Linked DNA regions of Schizosaccharomyces pombe. Changing the gene in region 1 together with any one later gene gives a genetic interaction. Each region holds a gene or a part of one and is shown on either strand. Other genes may lie near its edges.

Region 1 (4,391 bases):
TTCCTACCACAAACTATCATATCGGTTACCTTTGGAAGAGCCTGCTTGACCGTTGTTAATATAAGAGTAAGCAGAACGGCTAGAATTGTTTAGCCCTCCACGAGGCCTATTTGCTTCATGAAGCTCTTTTCTATGTGCAGCAAGCCTTCTTCGTTGTTCTTCATCTGCAAGTTCTTGCATTTCTTTAGCCCGTAGCTTTTTTTGTTGATTTTGACGTTGCCTTTTGGTAAGAGGTTCAGTGGATTTCTTTTTGCCGTACGACCTGGAGCTGGTAACAGTTTGAAAGCCATCATCGATATCGTTTGAAGAAAACGAATTATGTAAAGAGTCATCTGCTGTAATAGCGGCGAGAGATATTGATGACTTCATTTTCAAAGAGGAAGGGGTAGTTGAATGTTTCTGTTCTAATTTTTGAGTATCTTCAACGTCCGTAGTATCCTCCTTTTCAGCAGGATTTTTTCCGACCAATTTCTCCTTCTTAGGAGACTTTACTTTCTTGACTTTATGATTTTCTTGGAAAATTTTAGGTGTGCCCTTCTTTGGCACTACCACGGGTTCCTTCTTTGAAGAGTCTTTCGATTTCGACTTTAGGGCATCTGAGGTTTCCAATTTTTGGGATTTTTTAGAGGGAGTTTCTCGATTAACCAAAGTATCCTTCTTAGTGTTCTTTTGTTTCTGCCTCTGTTTCTGTTTACCCAACTTAGTAAGCTTAGACTTTTGAGGTTTGGTAGCTAATTTTTTATCACTTGAGACTAAAAAATAGTACGCAACGTAAACAGTAGCTATAAGAAATGCCCATCTAAAGAAAGCCTCCTCATAACCCATTCTTTATCTCAATGTGGAATAGTGTAAGTAGAGCAACCAAATGGCAGTCCAAGCAAGCGCCATAATGTATCAGGGAATGCACAATGCTACTTAACGATCCTTGATATATAGCACTATATGTTAAAAAATGTAAACAATAAGAAAATGTGATTTCAATAACAAAAGGTAATTATATTGTTTAACATTGAACACATTTGACAAAAAAAACTAATGTACTTGATCACACTACTAATGCTATTCTAAATTCGCTAAAGACTTGTCGCCAATAAAATTAATACACCAACGTATTCGCTTAAAAAGTATAATTAAAAAAAAAAATTGTTAAAATTTATTTATCATTATAGTAACTCTGATTTTTACTTTTTTAACAAAACCACCAATAATGATTTTTGAAGCTTACTAGTACCTTAAATATTTTGTTCTATTAGGGGTGTGTTAGTAGTTTTGAGCAGAATTGAAATTCGAAATATCAATATATTTATAATTATGTAGGTGTTTTTTTACAAATATAAAAAAGAATTAAAAATAACTTATGACTTTTTAGAAAATATTCCGGTTAATTATTTTTTTGAAGATTAAACACAATCGTAAGTGCTCCAACTAACTTTTACATGGAAATAATTAAATCGACTTTCTTGAGCTAGTGCCTACAATCCTTTAACAACATGCTTTCAAAGCCCTGGTGCACTGTTTAACAGTTTCACATTTTAAGGTATGTTAAATCGTTCAATTGAGAATAGAAATTTGCCTTCAAAATTCTGTACTTAGTGAAAGAAGATGCACTTGTTTACAATAAATAAATATTTAAAAAAATAAAAAGCAATCTTCCAGTTCTCAAAGAGGAATATAAGTGTCTTTGAATTGCGTTCTTTATTATTAATAAATTGGCTTTCGTTTAAGAAATCGAAGCAGCAAATTATTACGTTAAAAGTCAGTCAAAATTTGTCGTGCATATTTGTTAAAAATTCAAAAACTCTTTTGTTCTCCTTTTGAAGAATGTTTATCAAATGTTTATTTTTCTCGTTTTCCTCTAATATTGCATCCAATTCATCAATTGAAACATATTTACGTTCATGCAACAGATTACGAATAAAAAGCAGCTGATTTTGAATTTTTGCATCAAGAAGGATAGCATTCAGTTCACATACTTCAAACGGGTTCGAGTTAGGACGTTCGTATAAAGGACTTAACATCTCTACCAGTGAATTCAAGGTACCACTTAAACATGTCAAAAGTGTTCCGTTACTTTTTTTCAATTCGTTATTTAATCCTTTTAACAATTGAAATTCATCGTTATTCACCCTACTGTTAAGGAAATTGGAATTTTCATCATTCTGTTGCAAAAATGAAGCGGTCTCAGGTAGTATGGGGGCATTTGTGTTTTGCTTAATAGGCTCTTTAACGATTAACATACTATTTAGGTTTCTTCCTTTTCGAGCTTTCACTAGTCCATAGTTACCTTTCAAAGTCTCCATTTGTTGCTCATGCTGGCGTAATGAAACAGATAATTGATTCTTTAATGCCTTCAAAGTCAATTCATTTTTAGCATTTACATCTTTCAAACCTTTATTTTGTGTAATTAATTCAGCTTGATCTCTTTCCAGTGTTCTAACTTTATTCAGTTGCAATTGACATTCGTTTTGATAAAGCTCCAACTCATTTTTGAGCCGTTTTATTGTATTGTTATCTCTTTGCTTTTCATATTCATTATTTTTAATAGCATCAAGAAGAGATTCCTTTTCTAAACGTTCTTCGTCAGTTGCTCTTAATAAACGATATATGATGTTCACTATGTTGCAATTATCACGAATGTCATGAGAAAGGCGTAACTTTTCAGCTTGTATTACTCCTTTGGAAAATAAAGATTTGTTAATATACAAAAGGCTTTCTTCTATATTGCTGGGGTTGCAAAAAACAATGGGGGTGGTCATCTTCCAATGTTTACACTTATTAATGCGGTGGTGAAGAAATAATGTAGAACATCCTTATAAAAATCATCTATTGCATAGAACTTAAAACAGATTGATTATTAACTACAAAGAATCTAATATTATTTTTAATTCATAAACATTAAAAAAAAAAAAAAGTAAGCCGGAAAGCCAAAGAGGTATAAATACCGATTTTCCCAACATTTCTAAATTGTATGCACTAATAAGCCATAACAGCTGACCAATAATCCACAGAGACAGACAAATAAGTCCCTTCTTACTTAAAAGCTTAGAGTTTGGTAAAACCAGAGGTAGAAATACTAGATACCACATAAAATACTAAGTTGTTAGTATAATCCGTCATTCTTCTAATTTCAAACTTAACATACCTGACTGGTACAAACCTTATTAAAGGTTACAAATGCAAATGTTTGGGCAAATAGAGTCCCAGGTAAATTCTTTTTTCCAAAGACCAAGGGTATTAGCATGCACAAACTTAACTGCGGCAGAAATGCAAATAAAGAAGACGCTTTTGCTCCGAAAGATGATTCATAGTATAAGTTTAAATGATGTAGAGAGAAATTATGTCGATGATCTGTTCTACCAAAGTGGTAAAGATATGTATGTTCAAGGAATGGAGACCCGTAAAGGTAATACATCAATAAATTACATATCGTAAACATAAACAAAGAACCAACAACAATCTTTAACTGATTAATCGATAATAAAGATAGAAATTTTTCCATGAAAGTGGACCCTTTTTTTGGTTTTGAAAAATATACTAAGAAAGCAATCCCATACATAAATGGGTAAATTTTAAAATGCACAGAAAACCCAAGTATTAGGCTAGCTAGCCAAACTGATTTTTTTTCGATCAAATACAACAAAGCAATGCTCAATATACCAAGAATGGCTTCACAATTCCCTCGAGTACTGATTATGGCGACGAATGGGTTCAATATCCAGAAGGAAGAGTAAATTAACGACCTTTTGTAAGATATCCTCCTAGATAAGAGCTTAATCATAAGCCACCCAGCAATTAAGTCTGATATTGAAAACAAATATTTACCCCACGACGGAAATCCGTATTGAGTAGGAAGAAGCAAAATTGCCAACATTGGAGTATAGCGATATGTGTCACGCATATACGGTGACATTCCTATGGAGACATATTTTGATGCGTCCGAAAACACGAAATAATCGATGTCCGTAAATTTAAGGGCAGATCGTCTATCATGCCAAATACCATAATTCAACAATACAAGTCTCATCAATAGACCCAATAAAAGTAAAAGAAATGCATCAGTAGGCGCATATAGGAGATATAAACTACTTTCACGTAATTTGGTAATCATATTTTCACGACTATTGTACTTTGACAGTAATTTCATAGCTTTTGCATAATGGATAAGAGCTTCACGAGCACTTGTATTGAATAGACTGCAAACTTTCACATCCAAATCAATGAGATATTTTTCATCCTGGGTTAAACGATATTGCAAGCAAGATTGAATAAAGCACTGAATTCGCAAATATTCTTTATCTGAGACACTAGTGTTTGTCCATTCAAGCAAAGAATTGGTAACTCCAGCAGCTAGTAAAGAATATGCCTTTTCATAATTTTGAAAGTTGTATGAT
Region 2 (18,637 bases), on another chromosome or scaffold:
CTTTTCTTGGCTTGAAGCCTATACCAACTTTTAAATCGATAGAAAAGCATTTTAATTTATTAACATCCTTACATTCGCTGAAAACGATGGATTGTTAAGAATGTGTAGTAAATAGCAAGTTGGTTAAGATGATTATGGCAAACTTCACTCAGCATGTTAGGATGGAAATTAATAAGATAGTCGTTGGTTTGTAATAATTAATTTTAAGAGTAGAGTTTTAATAGAAATCTGCACTTTGAAATCTTTTTATTTCTACTAATTATTCAAGCTGCATCGCGTGACAGCATTCCTACATAGCCCAAGCACTTCAGGTGAAAACCCTTTATAGTTTTAATTACAATACACATTAGGAAAAAGAAACATATCGATGGCATGTGCTAGTGACAGACTGTGACTTCCAGTAAACATGTGTTTTACTTTGTTTACCATAAAATGGTATGTAAAATGTTTATTGAAAGTAATAAAATAGCTGAGAAAAGACCATTTAATTTCAGCTTGTGATTCAAATGAAATAATCATGCTTTTTAGTTAGGATATTTGCCAATCCCTAAAAACTTAATATATTAATTGATAGTAAGGAGTTAACTTTGAAAAGCTATGTAGCTAAATTTTGGTTTGCTTCTTTTAAACGGCTTCAATTCAGCGCTATTGTTGTTCAACAAATGAAAAATTTTGCGACATTTTAACTAATCCGTATTTGAGATTCAAAAATCAACTAAAATTTTTCAAAAAAATCCTAAAACGAACAACGTTTATGAAAACGTCTTTTCCATTTATCTGAGTTGCCTATTTAATGTCAATACTTTTACTTCTATTCAATCAAGCAGAAGAGAAGGACACATTTGGTCTATTCGGGAATTTTTCTGACTGCTATTAAAAGCTTTAATATTACAAATAAGTAAACACATTACAATTAATTCACCCAAATATTTCAAATTAGTTATTATTCTAATTACAATTATTTTTAAGGAAGAACATGTTACTTTATTGCATGAGAGACATACAACTTACAACTGTATTTTCTTCTTTAACCTTATGGCTTCTACTAGAACGACAATCATAAAATTAATTGTACCGGCAGGAAAAGCTACGCCTACGCCTCCAATTGGACCTGCCCTTGGTGCTCGCGGGTTGAAGAGCATAGACTTTTGTAAAGAATTTAATGCGCGGACGGCAGGTTGGATGCCAAATACCCCAGTGCCTTGTAAAATTACTGTCACACCTCAAAGAACATTTACTTTCACTATACATACTCCTCCAACCAGTTGGTTAATCTCTAAAACCCTCGACCTTGAAAAAGGTTCAAGTTCCCCATTACATGATATAAAGGGACAATTAAGCTTGAAGCATATATATGAAATTGCCAAATTGAAAAGTACTGATCCAAGCTTACAAGGAATAGAGCTTCTTTCTCTTTGTAAAAGTGTCATTGGAACAGCTAAAAGCATGGGCGTCAAAGTCGTACCTTAATCTTATGAGACGCCAGAGCATTTTGTAACTGGTCATACTTGAGGTTATTTTTTTTTCTATCTTGTTATAAACTATTCCCCTCTTTTTTCTTGAATAAAAGCAGTTAATGATATGACTTTTTACTATTACCGACTAAAACGTTGTCCCTGTTTTCTTATTTTCTCCTTTTCTTAGTTGTTTTATATTATTCCTTCGTTAAACAAGCAAAGTAAAAAAACACGTTTGCCATATAAAATTAAAGAATTGCATACCGTTAGTTTACAAACACATCTTAGACTAAATGATTACCTTTAGCATTAAACTATCAATATAGATAACGAAACAGATATGCTAAGCAGAAAAGAAAATGAAGATTTTCAAGTGTGAGTTTTATGTTTACTCTAAGTCACGCCTTATGAAATGCAGCTCAATAAAAGAGAGCCTCAAACTCTGTCTATCTATCAAAAAATAAGAAAAAAAAAACCAAGATTAGTACTGCAGAAACGCTCGAAAATAAAAGAAATGGCTTATGCTATAGGGAGGCATAATTGATGCTTGGCTTGAATAACAGCATCACGATCACCAGTATTTTTCATGATATCGTCACTAATCTTCACTGCTTTAGTTCCTTCAGCGGAAAAAAGCTTAATAACAATATTCATAGGTTTGCTCACTTCACTGGGATTGGAAACTTTTTGGAAGTCGCTGGTAAGATTTGTGCCGATGCCAAATGCAGACTTAATGCCACATTTCTCGCAGTATTTGTACAGTTCGATACATCTGTCAACATTTAAAGCATCGCTATGAACAATTACTTTTGTGGAAGGATCGACACCTATTGATTTATAGTGCTTTACGACTTTTTCAATGTATTCCTCAGCACAACCGCTATCTTGACGAACACCATGGAAAACATTGGCTAAATCGTCGGCAGAATTGGCTGTAAAAGATTTGAGAAACACATCAGTAGAGAATGTATCCGTTAAGGCTATTAAAAGACTAGTACCAAAAGTTTGGACCCACTTTAAGGAAGCAATACGATTTGCTTGTTTATAATTTTGAGTAATAGCTGCAATGCCCATATACCACTCGTGAGCAACCGTACCAGAGACATTTAGATTATATTTGGCGGCGAAGTAAACATTAGATGTACCAAGGAAACTTCCAGGGCCCTTAAAATCCTCTTGTGCTTTCATGAGACCTTGGAGAACAATTTCCTGGGTGTGAGGATCACGACGACGACGAGTGCCAAAGTCAGTAAAGGCACATCCGGCTCGGATGAGACGCTTACCCTTCTCGTAAGCTTTTTCAAACTGACCCTCAGGTGACCAGTCCTTATCGACAAATTTAAAATAAGATTCTGAGACGAGAGCAAGCAGTGGAATTTCATAAAAAATGGTATTCTTCCAGAGGCCGTGAATAAAGATTGAGAGATCCTTAGTTTCAGAATCATAATTAAGGGAAATTGAATTTTCAGGATCAAATTCGAACTCATGCATGAATTCATAAAATGATTCCTTTAAATAAGGACAGTTCTTGCGAAGCCATTGCTCTTCTTCAGGAAGTAAATGTAAATTCCGTAAGCCTCTTATTTGTTCCCGTAACCAGTTATAAGCCTCCTGATTTAATGCCATTTTTGGGGACCGGTTTGTATACTTATATGATACTTGAGCATCCGGATAATGCTCTAAAACGGCTTGAAGCATGGTGAGTTTGTAAAGATCCGTATCGAGGATAGAGACAACAGCCGGTTCACTCATCGTAGCAAAAAGGATAGATATATTTTCAAATTATATATTAATATTGGTTGAAAACCTGAGGTGTATAGAACCCGACGAAACTTTTTTATGAAATCAATGAACGTTTGCCGTTAGCGCATTAAAAACGCAAGGAAATCAAAATCAAATAGAATTAAAATTTAAAGTGTCTTGATATGAAAGATATTAATTATAATTTCCCCTACTAATGTCAATTTCAATCAGAACACTCTTAGTCGCAGGAAATAGAAGTCAATTTTTTTGTGAAGGTTTTCAAAATTTTAAAGGGTTAGGATCTTTTTCAAGTTAGTGTCAATTGTCAAATAGATGTGAAACATTATATTTTATACTACATGCGCATGTTATAATGCAGACTCGAAAAGTATACCCGCCAAAATTGCAGGAAATCAAATTATATTATTTTTAACAAACGAGCATACCTTCAACAAACAATTGTACTACTTTAATAGCCTGTAGCAAACAAAACCAATTTGAGGACGAATCTGATCTTGGTAGATTGACATTTTGTATCTTGGCGATGATTTACTTTTTCAAGTAACATCATGGTATTGTTACTTACTTTTATTTACGATGTTAAAATTGTTCGCCTTTTTATGGCATTAGGAATAACTTTTCAATTTGCTTTTCATTAATTGATAATTGAAACTCAATCTTTATACTGGCACATATTTTCTAAAGTTCTTTTCAAAAATTCATTAAAATGGGTTTACAACTAAATATGATATTCTTAAGTGTTTTTCATAAGACCATTTCTAATATATTGCAATTTTAGCAGGACAAAAAAGAGAATTCCAAAAATTTCATTTCCTTTCCGTAAGTACTTGCCTATCCTGACTCTTGTATATATTAATTCAGGAGCATTAGGACGCTCATTTAAAAATCTTCCGGTACAAGTAGTAAGGGTGATAATTTTAAACTTCCATAAAGCACAGAGCATAGCATAACTCAAGTGTTAAAAAATATATTTTTTTGGTCACAAAGAATTCAGAATTTCGTTATTAGCATGTAGTAAAAGACATCACTAAGAAACAGTTCAAAAAAACTAACGAGTAATTTCGGACGAGGTTTTGCGGAAAAAGTAAATTTTTAATGCGCAAAATTGAGATAAAGTACACCCTTGAAATTTTTTAATAAGCTCTATAACGGAAAAGGCAGTCGAGTATATCGTCAGATAAATCATCAATTCACCACTTTTGGACATCAGCTTACTCGGGGCTTTCCAATCCTACACGTCTAGCAGCAAGCTTTACTTTTTCAAGTTCATTTACATTTGCTAACGGATGATGGCGATTAAATAACAGTTCATGTTGATTTCCCGATTTCAAAAATGCAACCACCTCTTGAAATTTTGATAGCTGCTCAACCTTGTTATTTCTAAGACAAGCTTTGGTATATACTAAGAAGTCTTTTTGGGTCTTAGTGAATCCTTTCTTTTGTTTGAGGGTACTGGTCTTATATATTACATTCTGAAGACTATTAATGCTTCGCCCCATACTTCAAAATACTTACCATCTCGCGCAATTGACGCAAAAGTGACCGATAAACAGTAGTAGGAGTACTCATCGTTTAAATTATCTTCTCTTTATGGATCTAAGGTTGGTATTATACCTACAAAATCCTTATGAATGATTGCGCGTTTAGAGAGAGGTGTTTCTTGTAGTTGCTAATGAATCCACTAACTTCATTATAGAACAACGAACAAGTAGCTTAAAGCAAGAGAACAATTACTATTATTGGTGTCATTTAATAAATGTTTAAAGAAGTTAAAGCCAACAAAAATATATATTCATTCATTATTTACAAAAGACGTTGAACTCAGAACATATATTCCGATTTCATTAAATATAGATTTTTTTTCTAATTCATCGTATAAACCAATCTAGAATACTAAATCAAAATTGCACAGATATATTTTGTAAATTCGCTAGACTGTCAGCAAGTGGTAAGGGGAGATTACATATAGCATCCGTAAGTGACTCTTCATTACAAAGCGCGTTAACAAACCGCGAAATTTTGTGCAAAGCAGCCTTTTGTAACAAATTAGTAGCATTCAATTCTTTCAATGCTACGCTAATTTTACGAAGTGTAAAAAGCTTTAGCTCTTGATTAGCATCAAAGTTACCTTCTAAAAGATCCAAATAATCGGAATAAATTTGACCTCCAAATCTCCAAGAAGCCAACCCATCTGTTTGCCCATTAAATCCTTCTAGTGCTTTTTTCAATTGTGTCTTATTACCACTTATAACAGCCTGTGGAGCCAAGGTATCCAACAACACCTTATGCGCATCTTCATACAAAGCAGCTTCCTGAAGGAAATAAAGCTCGTTTAAGTGATCACCAACATAACGTGCATACAACGCTTTGGCCTCGTTTAACCAGGATTCAGGGATACATAACTTTTCAATCATTTCAACAGCACCAGCACCTAATCCCCCACGAAGGTTTCGTGCTAAACATGAAGTGATAGTCGATGTTCGGGTTTCTACATTCTCCAAATGCAATAAAACAAATAATGACCATAACCATTGCCCTGATGCTTCCAACTGGGAAGCATATGCCAGAGTCAATTGATCAGAATGAACACTAATAGGTTTTAGATCTTCAGCCATGTTAATATCCACCACTCTATCTGAAAAGTCACATAAGGATCTAGCTTTCGATAAGTAAATTGCCAATTGCCATACTACTCTGTAATTCAGCGGCGAACATTTAGCGCTTTCCGGTATAGTAAGTTCTTCTAAACTAGTGCCCATAGCATACGCTTTGAGCAAAAGATAAATAATGTCATATACTTCAATACCTTGCACAGCACTAGTGGCGATTGGTTTCTGCATGATTTCAGGAAACTTTTGCAAAGACTCAACATACAATTGCATAGCTTCACCTATACTAATATCAGTGTTGTACCACAACTTTAAGCCGAATGCTCTTAACCAGGTCATATTTTTTGTAATGGGTATAGATTGAACATAATCCTCATCTCCTTTAGTCCCACAGCCTTCAGCAATATCAGTATTACCAGAAAGCAATTCGAATATTAGTCTTGTAAATTTATTGATGAAGGGTAAATCACCGTGTTTTCTCCATTCCTCCAATTGCTGTTTCACCTCTTGCTGGATATCTACATCACTATTGACTAAAGGTATAAGCGTGGATAAACGATTATTTTGGGATTGGACCGCTTCCTCACAAGCCTGACCAATAAGGTTTCCTGTTAACAAAATGTAAATACGTTCTTCTGATGTTTCGGCTTCCTTTGCTAATGTAGTTGTTTCATGCTCAAGTGTCTTAGTAATCCATTCAGATAAAGATTCCCGTACAAGCTTTTGATAAAGAACTTCACGAGCCTCTGATGAGAGTTCTGAAGGCAAGGAGTAGTTTTTTGGGTCAAATAGAATTGAAGTCAGATCCCACACTATGCTTTCATATCCAGAAGAACATAGCGATAAAGGTTTGACAGTCATAGATGAACGAGGTGAAGCAGCATGGGTCCCACTCAAATCCAAGTAAACTTCTGTTTGATCGAGCTGATACTCTAACAACTTCGTGCCATTTGGATCTTTGGTAGGTATAAAATCATATATCGATCTTATTTTTACATCCGAAGATTTCAGCACGTATATACATGATCCGTTGGCAGTAAAATGAAATTTTGAGGGTATGAAAGCCCCCGGCTTATCTAAAGATTGCCAAGGTCTATCGGTGTCGAGGTTTTGATTTCCAAAAATGTCCGTCACTAAATCATGTTCGTTATAATATATACCTCTAGAGTTTTTTAAATTTGCATTTGATTGACTTTCAGGAAAAGCAGCTTTTATTAAAGCCGAGCGTTGAACACTCAAATTTAATTGGTCTCTCCAATTATCTGTAACGACAAGCCCATGAAAATCTTGGGCTCCAAAACGCATAGAAGACAGTTCCTCCCTGTCCGACTCCTCGCTAATATCCTCAATATCCATATTGTCTGCTGCCAAACTAGCATCAGACTCTTCTACTAGGCTATAAACGGATTCATTAGAAGATTCCGAAGAATTTGATAAGTCATCTTCAGAAAGTGGAACGTTATTTTCCTTCGAGTATCCATCGACTTTTTCGATAGAAATAACCTCGTCGACTTTTTTTGCATTATCGTCATAGTCACCTCTTTCTGAGACATTTGAATCGCTAGAAAAATCAAGTTTGACTTTCTTGGACATAAAAGTATCATCCAAAGGGGCAGAATCATCAACTTTTAGGAAATGGCGGTTCAATTCCTTGTTCTTACTGTCGTTGGGAAATGCACCTGGTGTATGGTGAGTAACAAATGAATCATTTTTTCCCGAAACTTTCAAGTTTGGTTGATCATACTTTTTTAAATTACCTGCTTCATTACTAGTTGATGACATATCGTTTTCTTCCTCTTCATCATCCAGCAAACCGTATCTAGAGAAATGCTGAACCTTGAAGATCCATTTTCCGTCATTAAAGTCAATAAATTCGGTATCTTTAATACGATGAAGTCTCTTTACATGTTGAATGTATCTAGGGTTCTGAGGATCCTTAATAGGCTCTCGAGTCTCTCGAGATAATGGCCAGGTTTTTTCAAGTGTAATTATGGCAGGAACATTAAGGCCTTCACCCAAAGGAGGACTTGATCCCTCAACAGGATATACGGCGCAAATCTTTCTCTCAAAAACAACGACCTTGCCAGGTATGTCTTCAAGCTTTTCGAATCCACTCAAATCGACGGGTTTTAAAAATGCAACTTGGCCATAGCCAGTGCGACCGACAGAGAATTGATGGACAGAACATAATTTTTCTTTAGGATACTTAGAAAGCTCCTCAATTGAGGGTTTCATCCAGTAATCGTCAGATAGAACTACATGTTCGTCTTTCTTTAAAGAGCCATCTGCTTCATTTTGAGGTGCTTTTTCTTGTACTTTTGAGTCTGATTTGGCATCGTTGCCATTTTTCACACCATTTTGCAGGATATCATCTTTGGAGATTTTGTGGGTAATAACCAGCTTTTTTATGTTTTGTCTCGGAGTAAAAGCATCGGCGCTCAGCAACACATCATCGTTAAGCGAATCAAACAGGTGTAGTGATTTCGGTTTACCAGAAGCACTTGTTGAATTCATTACAGCCGATTTGGCAAAAGAGGAAATAGAAGCCAAACGTGCAGTATTATGCGAACGAGGTGACAACCAAAATTGTGGTAGAGAAGCTGCCTTTTTGGGAGTCGGTTTAGAAGTCAACGGTGAAGCTATCGGTTCCTGAATACTAGTTGGTGCAACTTGTGAAGTTGTGCTTGAAAATAAGGGATTATTGCCGTAAGGGTTTTGGTCTATACTGGCCTGTAATGGTTGTTGCTGTTGTCCAGCTTGAGATCCACCAAATAACCCAGTACCAAAATTTGAAGTTTGTGCTTGGTTGTTAGTATTAGAAGCCCCAAATAATCCAGATGTAGTTGTAGATGGTTGTTGAGCAGTTGTGTTACCAAACAAACCACCAGTTGTAGTAGAAGGCTTATTAAACAAACTACCACCGGTATTGGTTGTGTTTGCATTATTGGATCCAAAGAGCCCGGTTCCGGTATTGGAAGTAGCATTATTCGTTTGCGTAGAGCCAAATAAACCGGTACCAGGAGTACTGGAGTTGGCTGATCCAAACATGTTAGAACCCGCAGTGTTCGCATTTCCGAATAAACTTCCGCCAGTGCCGGTAGCATTAGTAGCTGTGTTGGTATTAGCACCGGCTCCTAAACCACCAAACAAACCTGTCCCTGCTGGTTTAGGAGCAGTGGTAGCAGTGGATCCAAAAGCTGGCTTGGGAGCATTATTAGCATTTTGCCCAAAAGAAAAACCTCCGCTGGCAGGAGTAGTGGTCGTGGAACCAAAACCGAATCCAGAAGGCTTAGTGGCTGCATTATTATTGGCACCAAAGGAAAAATTACTACTATTGTTACCACCAAAAGTAGATGTTGGAGCGGTGTTATTATTTGCCGTATTATTATTAGCGCCAAAACCAAACAAACCTGTACCCATGGTACCTGAATTGGGTTGGTTATTCGTGTTGCTTCCAAACCCCCCAGTAGAAGAACCAAATCCCGTACCCGTACCAGTGGCAGCACCACCAAATAAGCCACCCGTAGTTTGACCTGTTCCTGTATTGGTTGCGTTATTTGAACCAAAAAGACCCGTTCCTGTACCAGTATTGGTAGTGTTAGTGGTTGAGCCAAAACCTGAAAAAGCTGGTTTTTGTTGATTAAATGTAGAGCCACCAAAAAGACCGGTTGAAGGAGTTGAGGTGGTATTATTGTTTTGACCAAATAACCCACCGGATGCATTATTTGTTCCAGAACCAAACCCTGTATTGGTAGTGTTACTACCAAATGCAGATCCACCGCCAAAGAGACCGGAACCAGGAGTGGTATTAGTAGCATTCGATGTACCAAACGGTGTTGCATTATTTGTGGTACCTGACAAATTCTGACCAAACGGAGTAGTTGAAGCTCCAAATGCGGGTGTTGAACCAAATGCAGAAGTAGTGTTCGTACTAGAAGCATTGCCAAAACGTCGTCCTTGATTATAGTCTTGTAAACGCAACTCTTCAAATGAATAAGATCTATAAGCGGGCATACAAGTTATAGACTGGAAGACACTAGTACCGTTTGTTTGAGGGTCTTTTTCAGAAGTTACCGCATAAGGTGGGTTAGCTGTACCATTCACAGCGTTTGCATTGCTTGAGACAAATCCAGAGGTTCCGAAAGCGTTGGTCGTAGCGGGTGTAGTGGACGAACCAAACAAGCCACCACCAGTACCTTGCGAACCAAACCTGTATTTCCAGCAGTATTGCCAGCGTTATTTTGAGAACCAAACAAGCCACCACCGGTACCAGTATTCGATGCAGTGTTACCGAACCCTGTTGAACCAGCGTTCGATCCAAAAGAAAATGACGTTCCAGTATTTGCATTGTTGTTGGCGGTATTTGATCCAAAGAGGCCACCACCACTAGGATTTGTGGCGTTGTTCGTGCCTCCAAAAGCAGGAGTATTGGATTGGCCAAACATACCTGTCCCAGAGGACATTCCAAAACCTGTGCCACCAGTCGTGGTAGTGTTGTTTCTATTTCCAAATAGTCCACCGTTCGTATTTGATCCAAACAAGGGTTGAGTAGTGTTCTGCCCAAAGCCAGTTGTAGAAGTGTTTTGGGAACCAAACAAAGTGTTCCCTGGAGTATTGGAGTTGGAACCAAATAACCCACCAGTTTGTTGATTATTTTGACCGAAAGCACCGGTTCCTCCTCCAAATCCGGAAGAATTGTTTTGTCCAAACATCACTAGGATGATATTTGATTAAATAATTAGTAAAGTCACCAAAATTGGTGTTGTGTGGACGACAGGTCCGAATAGTGCACTGCTACTCAAGATACGTTCAAGGCGTGATAGAGAAGAATACAGAAATTTAGCTTTTTTTTTAATACTCACGGTAATTACAATTTTTAAATTTGCTTCATTTGTTTTTCTCAACGTAATTGTCGCATTTCTTCTAACGTGGTATTATTTCTGTACATCGAGGTTGATCACTTACTTCTCGTATACGTACACTGGTGCTTCATAAGTCATCGAACGTTGATTCCAGGCTAGAAAATGTCTTCGGGGGGACTTGAAGATGATATTCAGCTGGTACACGAGTTTTTGGATGTATCTTTTGAGGATATAAAACCCCTGGTGTCTGTCAATGGTTTCGCTGTATTTATATCTGCTATTAAAACCAAGGTTAAAGACATAAACGCTTTAAAGGATCAGCTTGTCCTTCAAGAAGTCAACCATGAGCATAAGGAGAATGTTCTTACGAAGAAGATTAACTTTCTTGAGCAACAACTTCAATCTTCTAATAATCAAGCAGAGGAATCACGTAATCTTATATCGGTATTGAGAAATGAGAACGAATCGCTGAAAACCAACTTGGAGAATCAAAATAAGCGCTTTGATGCATTGACTACTGAGAACCAGTCGCTTAGAAGGGCTAACTCTGAATTACAAGAGCAATCTAAGATTGCTTCTGAGCAGCTTTCAATCGCGAAAGATCAAATCGAAGCCCTACAAAATGAAAATTCACATTTAGGAGAGCAAGTCCAGAGTGCGCATCAAGCATTGTCTGATATTGAAGAAAGAAAGAAACAGCACATGTTTGCTAGCAGTAGCAGTCGTGTCAAGGAAGAGATACTCGTTCAGGAGAAAAGCGCTTTAGTCTCTGATTTGGCTAGTTTGCAATCAGATCATTCGAAAGTTTGCGAAAAATTAGAAGTTTCATCTCGTCAAGTTCAAGATTTGGAGAAAAAGCTTGCTGGGCTTGCCCAACAGAATACAGAGCTTAACGAAAAAATACAGCTTTTTGAGCAAAAGCGGAGCAATTATTCCTCCGATGGGAACATATCAAAAATCCTTGAAACCGACCCCACTTCAATCAAAGAACTTGAAGAAGAAGTGGAAACTCAGAAACGACTTACAGCTCTTTGGGAGTCTAAATCTTCAGAGTTGCAATCAGAGGTTGCTGCACTTCAAGAAAAGCTCACTTCGCAACAAAGTCTATACAATAATGTGACCGAAGAGTTAAATAATAACAAGCAACAGCTATTGATTTCGGAGAATAGTTTGCGGGAACTGCAAGAGAAATATGATAGTGTAGTTAGTGAACTACAAGTGGTTAAAGAAAATAAAAATACCTCTGTTTCAGCTGGTGTAGGTTTGTTTTCTCCTTTGGCGCAAAAGTTAAGCGCCGTTCAAAATCCCGAATTTTCATTTACGAAAGTATATTCGGACAATATGAAACTCCAACAGAAGGTTTCTAGCTTAAAGCTTCAGCTAGACCGCTTGACTAACAAATTCTCCTCATTTTGTGAACAAGTTAAACAAAGGATTCCAGTTGTCAAACAACAGAGGAGTGAAATCGTTAGGAATAACATTTATATGAATTTTCTTAGCGAATCTTTGGAAACATCTAACAACAACCTAACCAAAGTACAAGCAGAGCTTTTATCGACCAAAATGCGCCAAGAAGCTTGTTACTTGCAGCTCACCGCATCTCGTACTCAATGCAGTGATCTTTCTCGAGAAGTTATTTGTCTCATGGCCGAACTTGATCATTTGAATGAAACTAAATCAAGAAACGTTCCCGCTACTGTGCAAGTTGCGCTTGATGAATACGCTCAAAATCCCTCTACTGCATCTGAGACACTAGTAAACAAGGAGCTTGCTAATTTTTCATCTATAAAGGAAGCTGTTTCGAAAACTCTAGAACTGCGGGAAAAAGTGCGGGCCCTTGAATGCGATGTTGAAATCCAAAAGCAAACTGTCCAATATCAAATTTCCAATGCAGTTAAAGAAAATTCAAATACACTTTCAGAGCAAATCAAAAATTTGGAAAGTGAGTTAAATTCGTCAAAAATAAAAAATGAGTCCTTACTTAATGAACGAAATTTACTGAAAGAAATGTTAGCTACTTCTCGAAGCAGTATTTTGTCTCACAATTCTTCCGCGGGCAATATTGATGACAAAATGAAATCCATTGATGAATCTACAAGAGAACTTGAGAAAAATTACGAAGTTTATCGTAACGAAATGACAGCTATTCAGGAATCCTTGTCTAAGCGAAATCAGGATTTGTTGAGTGAGATGGAAGCAATACGTAAAGAGTTAGAAAATTCCAAATATCAGCAGCAGTTATCTACTGATAGATTAACTAATGCTAATAATGACGTTGAAGCCTTTAAAAAGGAAGCCAAGGAGCTTCGTAGTATTAATCAAAATTTACAGGATATAATTAGTCGACAGGATCAGAGAGCCAGTAAATTTGCCGAAGAATTATTACATGTTAACTCACTTGCTGAAAGATTAAAAGGTGAACTAAATGCTTCGAAGGGTGAAAAAGATTTACGGAAAAGGACGCAAGAGCGTTTAATATCTGAAAACGATAAACTTTTGGCTGAGCGCGAGAGACTAATGAGTCTTGTATCAGATCTTCAAACTTTTCTTAACCAGCAACAGCTATCTGATGCTGCTAGAAAAGTAAAATTTGAATCTGAGAAGGAAAGCTTAAGCCTTTCCTTGCAGAAGTTGAAGGAGTCAAATGAAAAGATGAGTAATGATCTTCATTCTCTACAGAAATCTTTGGAAAAGAGCGGAATTGAGTACTCCAGCAGGATTAAGACATTAATGCTCGAAAAACAATCGTTAAGTGAAGACAACAGGAAATTGTTAGATAATCAACAAATGATGGAAATAAAACTCCAAGAATTAAACGGCGTCATTGAACTTGAAAAACAAAGATTTTCTACTTTGGAAGCCAAGTTTACACAGCAAAAAAATACGTCCTATAGCGAAAGGGAAGCTTTGCTAGAATCATCGCTTAGTGACTTGCAATCTAAACATACTTCCTTAGAATCCCAATACAATTATTCTTTAAGGAATATTGAACAGTTACAGGCCGCAAGCAAACTCGCCGAAGAAATGGTTGAAAGAGTTAAAACTGAGTATGATGAGTATCGATTGCAAACTTCAGAGTCCTTGGAAAAAAATCATTTAAAAATCACTTCTCTTGAACAAAGGATAGTTATTCTACAAGATGAGATAGCTTCTTCTTCTTTACGCTGTGAGAATATTACTAAAGATAGCGAAACAAGAGTTGCCTTGCTTTTAGAGGAAAATAAGCATCTTAACAATGAGCTTTCGTCACACCGAAATGCTGAAAAGCAACATTTAGAGAAGGAGAATGATTATAAACAACAGTTGTTGTTGGTAACTGAAGATTTAAGAAAAACTCGTGAAGATTATGAAAAGGAACTTTTAAGACATGCCGATGCTAGATCGACTCTTCAAAAACTGCGCGAGGATTACACGAAGGCATTAGAACAGGTTGAAGATTTGAATAAAGAAATAGCCTTAAAGGCCGGTATAAACGAATCTCAGCCCTTTCCCATTAGTGAAAAAGAAGATCCTTTGAGACAGGAAGTTTATGTCCTCAAAAAGCAAAACGCAATGCTTTTAACCCAACTTCAATCTTCCAATCTCAACTTTGCAGAAATAACTAGCCCATCCCCGGATTTAGATTCTGTTATGAAATTAGGATTATCAGATTTACAGAATCATGTGAAGCGTATATCCAAAGAAATGGAGATTATTTCATGCCAACGACAATTATTATTCCTTGAAAATAAGAAACTCAAGCGAACCGTTGAATCATCGAATCGAGTTATCGCCGATCTGCAAAGAGGTATAACGGAAAAGGATGTTAGCAGTACTTCTGAATCCGTTGGGGAACGTTCAAATTATCTAAACATGGTTGCTTTATTAAATGAGAGCAACAAATCTCTCCGAGAAAATTTAGAAAGGAACGAGGAAGTTATCACAGAGTTAAGAGAGAAAATAGAAACTCTTAAAACTGATTTGGCGAATTTTAGACTTAATAAAGAACAACTAGAATCACAGCTTCAAACAGAGAAAGCAGCTGTAAAAAAGCTTGAAAACAGCAACGAAGAATACAAGCGTCATAACCAAGAAATATTACTATCTTTGAACAGTAGCACATCTACGTCTAGTGATGCTTCACGCTTAAAGAATGAACTTGTTTCCAAAGAAAACTTAATAGAGGAGTTAAATCAAGAAATTGGTCATTTGAAATCTGAATTGGAAACTGTTAAATCAAAAAGCGAAGATTTGGAAAATGAGAGAGCGCAAAACCAATCCAAGATTGAACAATTAGAGTTGAAGAATACAAAACTAGCAGCTGCTTGGCGAACTAAATATGAGCAGGTAGTTAACAAGAGCTTAGAAAAGCACAATCAAATACGTCAACAACTTTCGCAAAAGACTTCTGAATTAGAAGCCAAGGTTGCGGAATGTCATCAGCTCAATGAACAACTCAACAAACCTTCTGCAACCCCCACTGCTACTACACAGTCTGAACCAAGTACGGTGTCACTGGAAGAATTCAATAGCACTAAGGAAGAACTATCTTCTACACAGCGAAAGCTAAGTGAAATTATGGATATCTTAAATACTACGAAGGAGGAGCTTGAGAAGGTCAGACAAAATAGTAATAAATCTGAGGGAACCAGTAAGGATACTGAAATACCCAACGAAGAAGAAATGGAAAGGAAGAAAGTCATGCAACAGGAAGTTTTGAGGTTACGTTCGAGAATTGCAAAAGAGCTACAGAAAAACGAATTACTCAGGAAACAAAATCAGGTTTTACAAGATCAAGTGAAAGCTTTGCAAGAGACAGTTGTGTCATCCGAGGAAGCAGAGTCCGCTTCGGTACATGCTGATACTAAAGATTTGGAAAACTTAAAAAAGACAGAAGAGATGTTATCAGTTACATTTCAAGTAATCTTCAACGAGTCCATATCTGACTTTTCGACTTCCACTGCCGACTTTACTACTTTTGTGCAAAAGGAATGGGAAAAGCGCAGAGAAATTTTACAGAAGGATGTTGAGGAACAAGTTGCTCAGTCGCATCAAAAACAACTAGATAACATCCGAAAAGAACTCGAGATGCGTAACAAGTTGAAGTTGAGCATGCTGGAAAAGAACTTAGCTAGAGTGCGAGCAGAGTTGGAGCAATCGAAGAAAAAAGATAGCCCTGCAATTTTAAGTTTGGAAGCTTCTAAAAACACTGATTCCAATAAAAGCAATTCTGAAGTCCCAGCAGCTCAAGTTAAAGAGAAAAAGTTAATCGCCAAAACTCACTCTGTTGACACTAATTCTCCTCCTAAACGGTCCAGTTCAGACGCTGGTATGGATGTTTCCAATGATGTTAAGAAAGCCAAATAGTAAAATATGAATTTTTTGGTATAATGCCCTTTTTAATGTTTCTTAAGAGTTTGTAAACAGATAATAAAATAGGTTAGCTGCATAATTATTATTTCTGGTTTCCAATAAAAAAAACGACTTTAATTTTATTATAATAAAAAGCTTTGTATTGTAATTTAATATTTTGATATTTTTTGAAGAGCTATAGATATTTTGCGCAACTAATGTCCTTATTCAGATATGTAAGCTACGCAGTTTGGTATCTGATTTAAGGATACGTAGAACTGCGGTGAGTTTTCCTTGTGGTCTATTATATTACAATACACAGGTTGTATAAGTAGCAACTGAGTATAGGTATTGTATTAACTGGGTTATAATGTTACCTATCACTAATATAGCTCATAACTGAACTGAGGAACGAGGTTCAGTTGTAACGGTATTTATAATATTTCTAAATAGTTGTTATCAACGGGTAACTATGTATATAGACGGATAGTTACCCGTGATTATCAATAAACGGATCTTAGCTAGTATTCCAACATATGACATATAGTGATACGCAACGTAGTGTATCATAGCGTAGTGTAGTATTGCTGACAAGATAAAATAAATAATGACGTTTTCGCGTGTTCTTAAGCTTAAGAACGTAACGCGCAAAAACTCATTATATGACATCCATATTTAACCCACTGGAGAACTGACCCAAAATAGAAAATTTCGGTTTTCATTGGTTTTTATTTATATTGAATTCTTGGGTTGATATGCAAAATGAGTATGTCGATATGAATTCATCTTCCGAGGATTCAGATGGTGATTCAATTTTGGAAGAAGGACGTCTTCGTCCATCTTTTCGTGGGCAGCAAAAAGAAAGGGACATGCTAGGAATATTTGGTGAAGAAGATGAAGATGGTTTTCATAACTCGGGGATTGGAAGTGCTAGACTTCGTAGAAAAAACATTTCTTTTGTTGAGAAATCTGAACAAGTTAAAGCAAATAAGCAAGTGACAGCAGATGATTTATTGGAGGCGCATTCAATTCCACAGTTAAAGAATAAAAATGATGAGGTTTCTCAGGCGAAAAATATTCCAAAGATGAAGTTTAATACTACTGGATTTGGCGCAAAAATGTTGGAAAAAATGGGGTATAAACAAGGACAAGGTTTGGGTGCCAATGCTGAGGGTATAGCTGAACCTGTACAATCTAAGCTACGCCCCGAACGTGTCGGATTGGGAGCCGTTCGAGAACGGACCGAAAAGCAAAGGAAAGAGGCAATTGCTCGTGGTGAGATCTCTGATAGTGAAGATGAGAAACATACCGTCAAACAAAAACCTTTAAGAGAAAAAAAGAAGAAACCTTTAAAATCCTCTGAAGAAATTTCAAAGGATATGGGAAGTTATAACTTGCCTAGGTTCTTAGCCAGTCTCATTGATGCTTCCTTAAATGATACTAAGGAAATCGAATTTGTGACTTCAAATAAAGAAGAATTGGGTTTAGAAGGTCGTGATATGTCCACTTCTGGAATTAACCAGCTCTCCAGGCTTGCTCGGGTTGAATGTGAACACCATGCTTCTGCATGGCAACAATTACAAGCCCGTCGCGCCTATGTTAAAATGGAATTAAAGAGGGTCACAACGGAATTCGACGAGAAATCGGTTGAAATATCTCGTTTGGAAAAGCTTTTGGGTAAAGTTATGGAGGTAAAATCCAGGTCAATGGAGTTTACAGTACCTGAGGCCGAAATTGATGTTATCGAAAAAAGACTTCAGCCGTTAAATAACTTAATTGAAACGTTACCGGTTGAATTTTCAGAGGCAAGTATGCATTTTGAGCTTGACTCGGTCGCAGTGTCAATCCTTGCTTTTGTACTTTCAGAACCGATAAAAAACTGGGATGTCTGGAAACATCCATATTTTATGTTAGAAAGTTTTCTTTCGTGGAAAAATTCTTTATATTCCAAAGACTTTAGGCCCAAGAGAGAAGAGAGTAGTACATTTATGGATATTGATGTGGAATTCGATGATGAATTAGAAGGTCAAAGCTTAACACACTATGAGTCATTTATGATGTTTGTTTGGAAAAAAAAAATTGGTGAGGAACTGAAGAAATGGATTATTCAGGATTCTCTTAAGGCTTTGCAACTTTTAGAAGCATGGGACCCTGTGGTTCCAGAGAAAGTTAAAGATTCTTTGATACAAGATGATATACTCCCTAGGCTCAAAGATGCTGTAAGCAAATGGAACCCTAAATTAAAATTGAAGAAAAATGATTCACTGCATCATTGTATTTTCCCGTGGTTACCCTATTTGGAAAAGCACGCAGATTCACTACTGCAAAGTGTTTTGGTTCAGTTTTCTCTAATTTTGTCCCCATGGAAAATAAAGAATGGAAGTATCGATGACTTTAGTGTCTGGAGATCAGCGTTTGCTAATGATGCTTTAGACCGTTTACTTGAGAAAGTTATATTGCCTAAGTTGGAAAAGTTAATGGATGAAGAGTTAGTGATTGACCCATCTAACCAAGACCTTGAAATATTTTTTATCATTTTGTCTTGGAAAGGATCGTTTAAAGCTATGGTTTTTGGGCAACTCTTTGCAGATCATTTCTTTCCAAAATGGTTAGA

Evidence for each region.
Region 2: mutations in msd1 (region 1) and alm1 are lethal when combined (synthetic lethality), as found in Schizosaccharomyces pombe (one study listed by BioGRID).

The regions. Positions count from the first base shown.
Region 1 is NC_003423.3:3,048,945-3,053,335, reverse strand, and holds msd1 (microtubule-anchoring factor Msd1), read right to left. Parts: upstream 2,786-4,391; 5' UTR 2,757-2,785; coding exon 1,761-2,756; 3' UTR 1,377-1,760; downstream 1-1,376. Other genes in the region: SPOM_SPBC13E7.07 (uncharacterized protein), read right to left, coding at 4-825; gpi14 (pig-M family mannosyltransferase), read right to left, coding at 2,859-3,092, 3,143-4,391. UniProt on the Schizosaccharomyces pombe protein: Has a role in meiosis.
Region 2 is NC_003424.3:3,188,933-3,207,569, reverse strand, and holds alm1 (nucleoporin Alm1), read left to right. Parts: upstream 1-10,802; 5' UTR 10,803-10,854; coding exon 10,855-16,038; 3' UTR 16,039-16,123; downstream 16,124-18,637. Other genes in the region: cytochrome c oxidase assembly protein Cox16, read right to left, coding at 1-50; mrpl19 (mitochondrial 54S ribosomal protein uL11m), read left to right, coding at 1,036-1,470; npt1 (nicotinate phosphoribosyltransferase), read right to left, coding at 1,977-3,209; F1F0 ATP synthase assembly factor Fmc1, read right to left, coding at 4,433-4,693, 4,737-4,790; ntr1 (RNA-binding splicing factor), read left to right, coding at 16,779-18,637. UniProt on the Schizosaccharomyces pombe protein: Maintains the proteasome and its anchor cut8 at the nucleus envelope and is required for kinetochore component proteostasis. Proper kinetochore stoichiometry ensures the correct attachment of kinetochores to spindle microtubules during cytokinesis.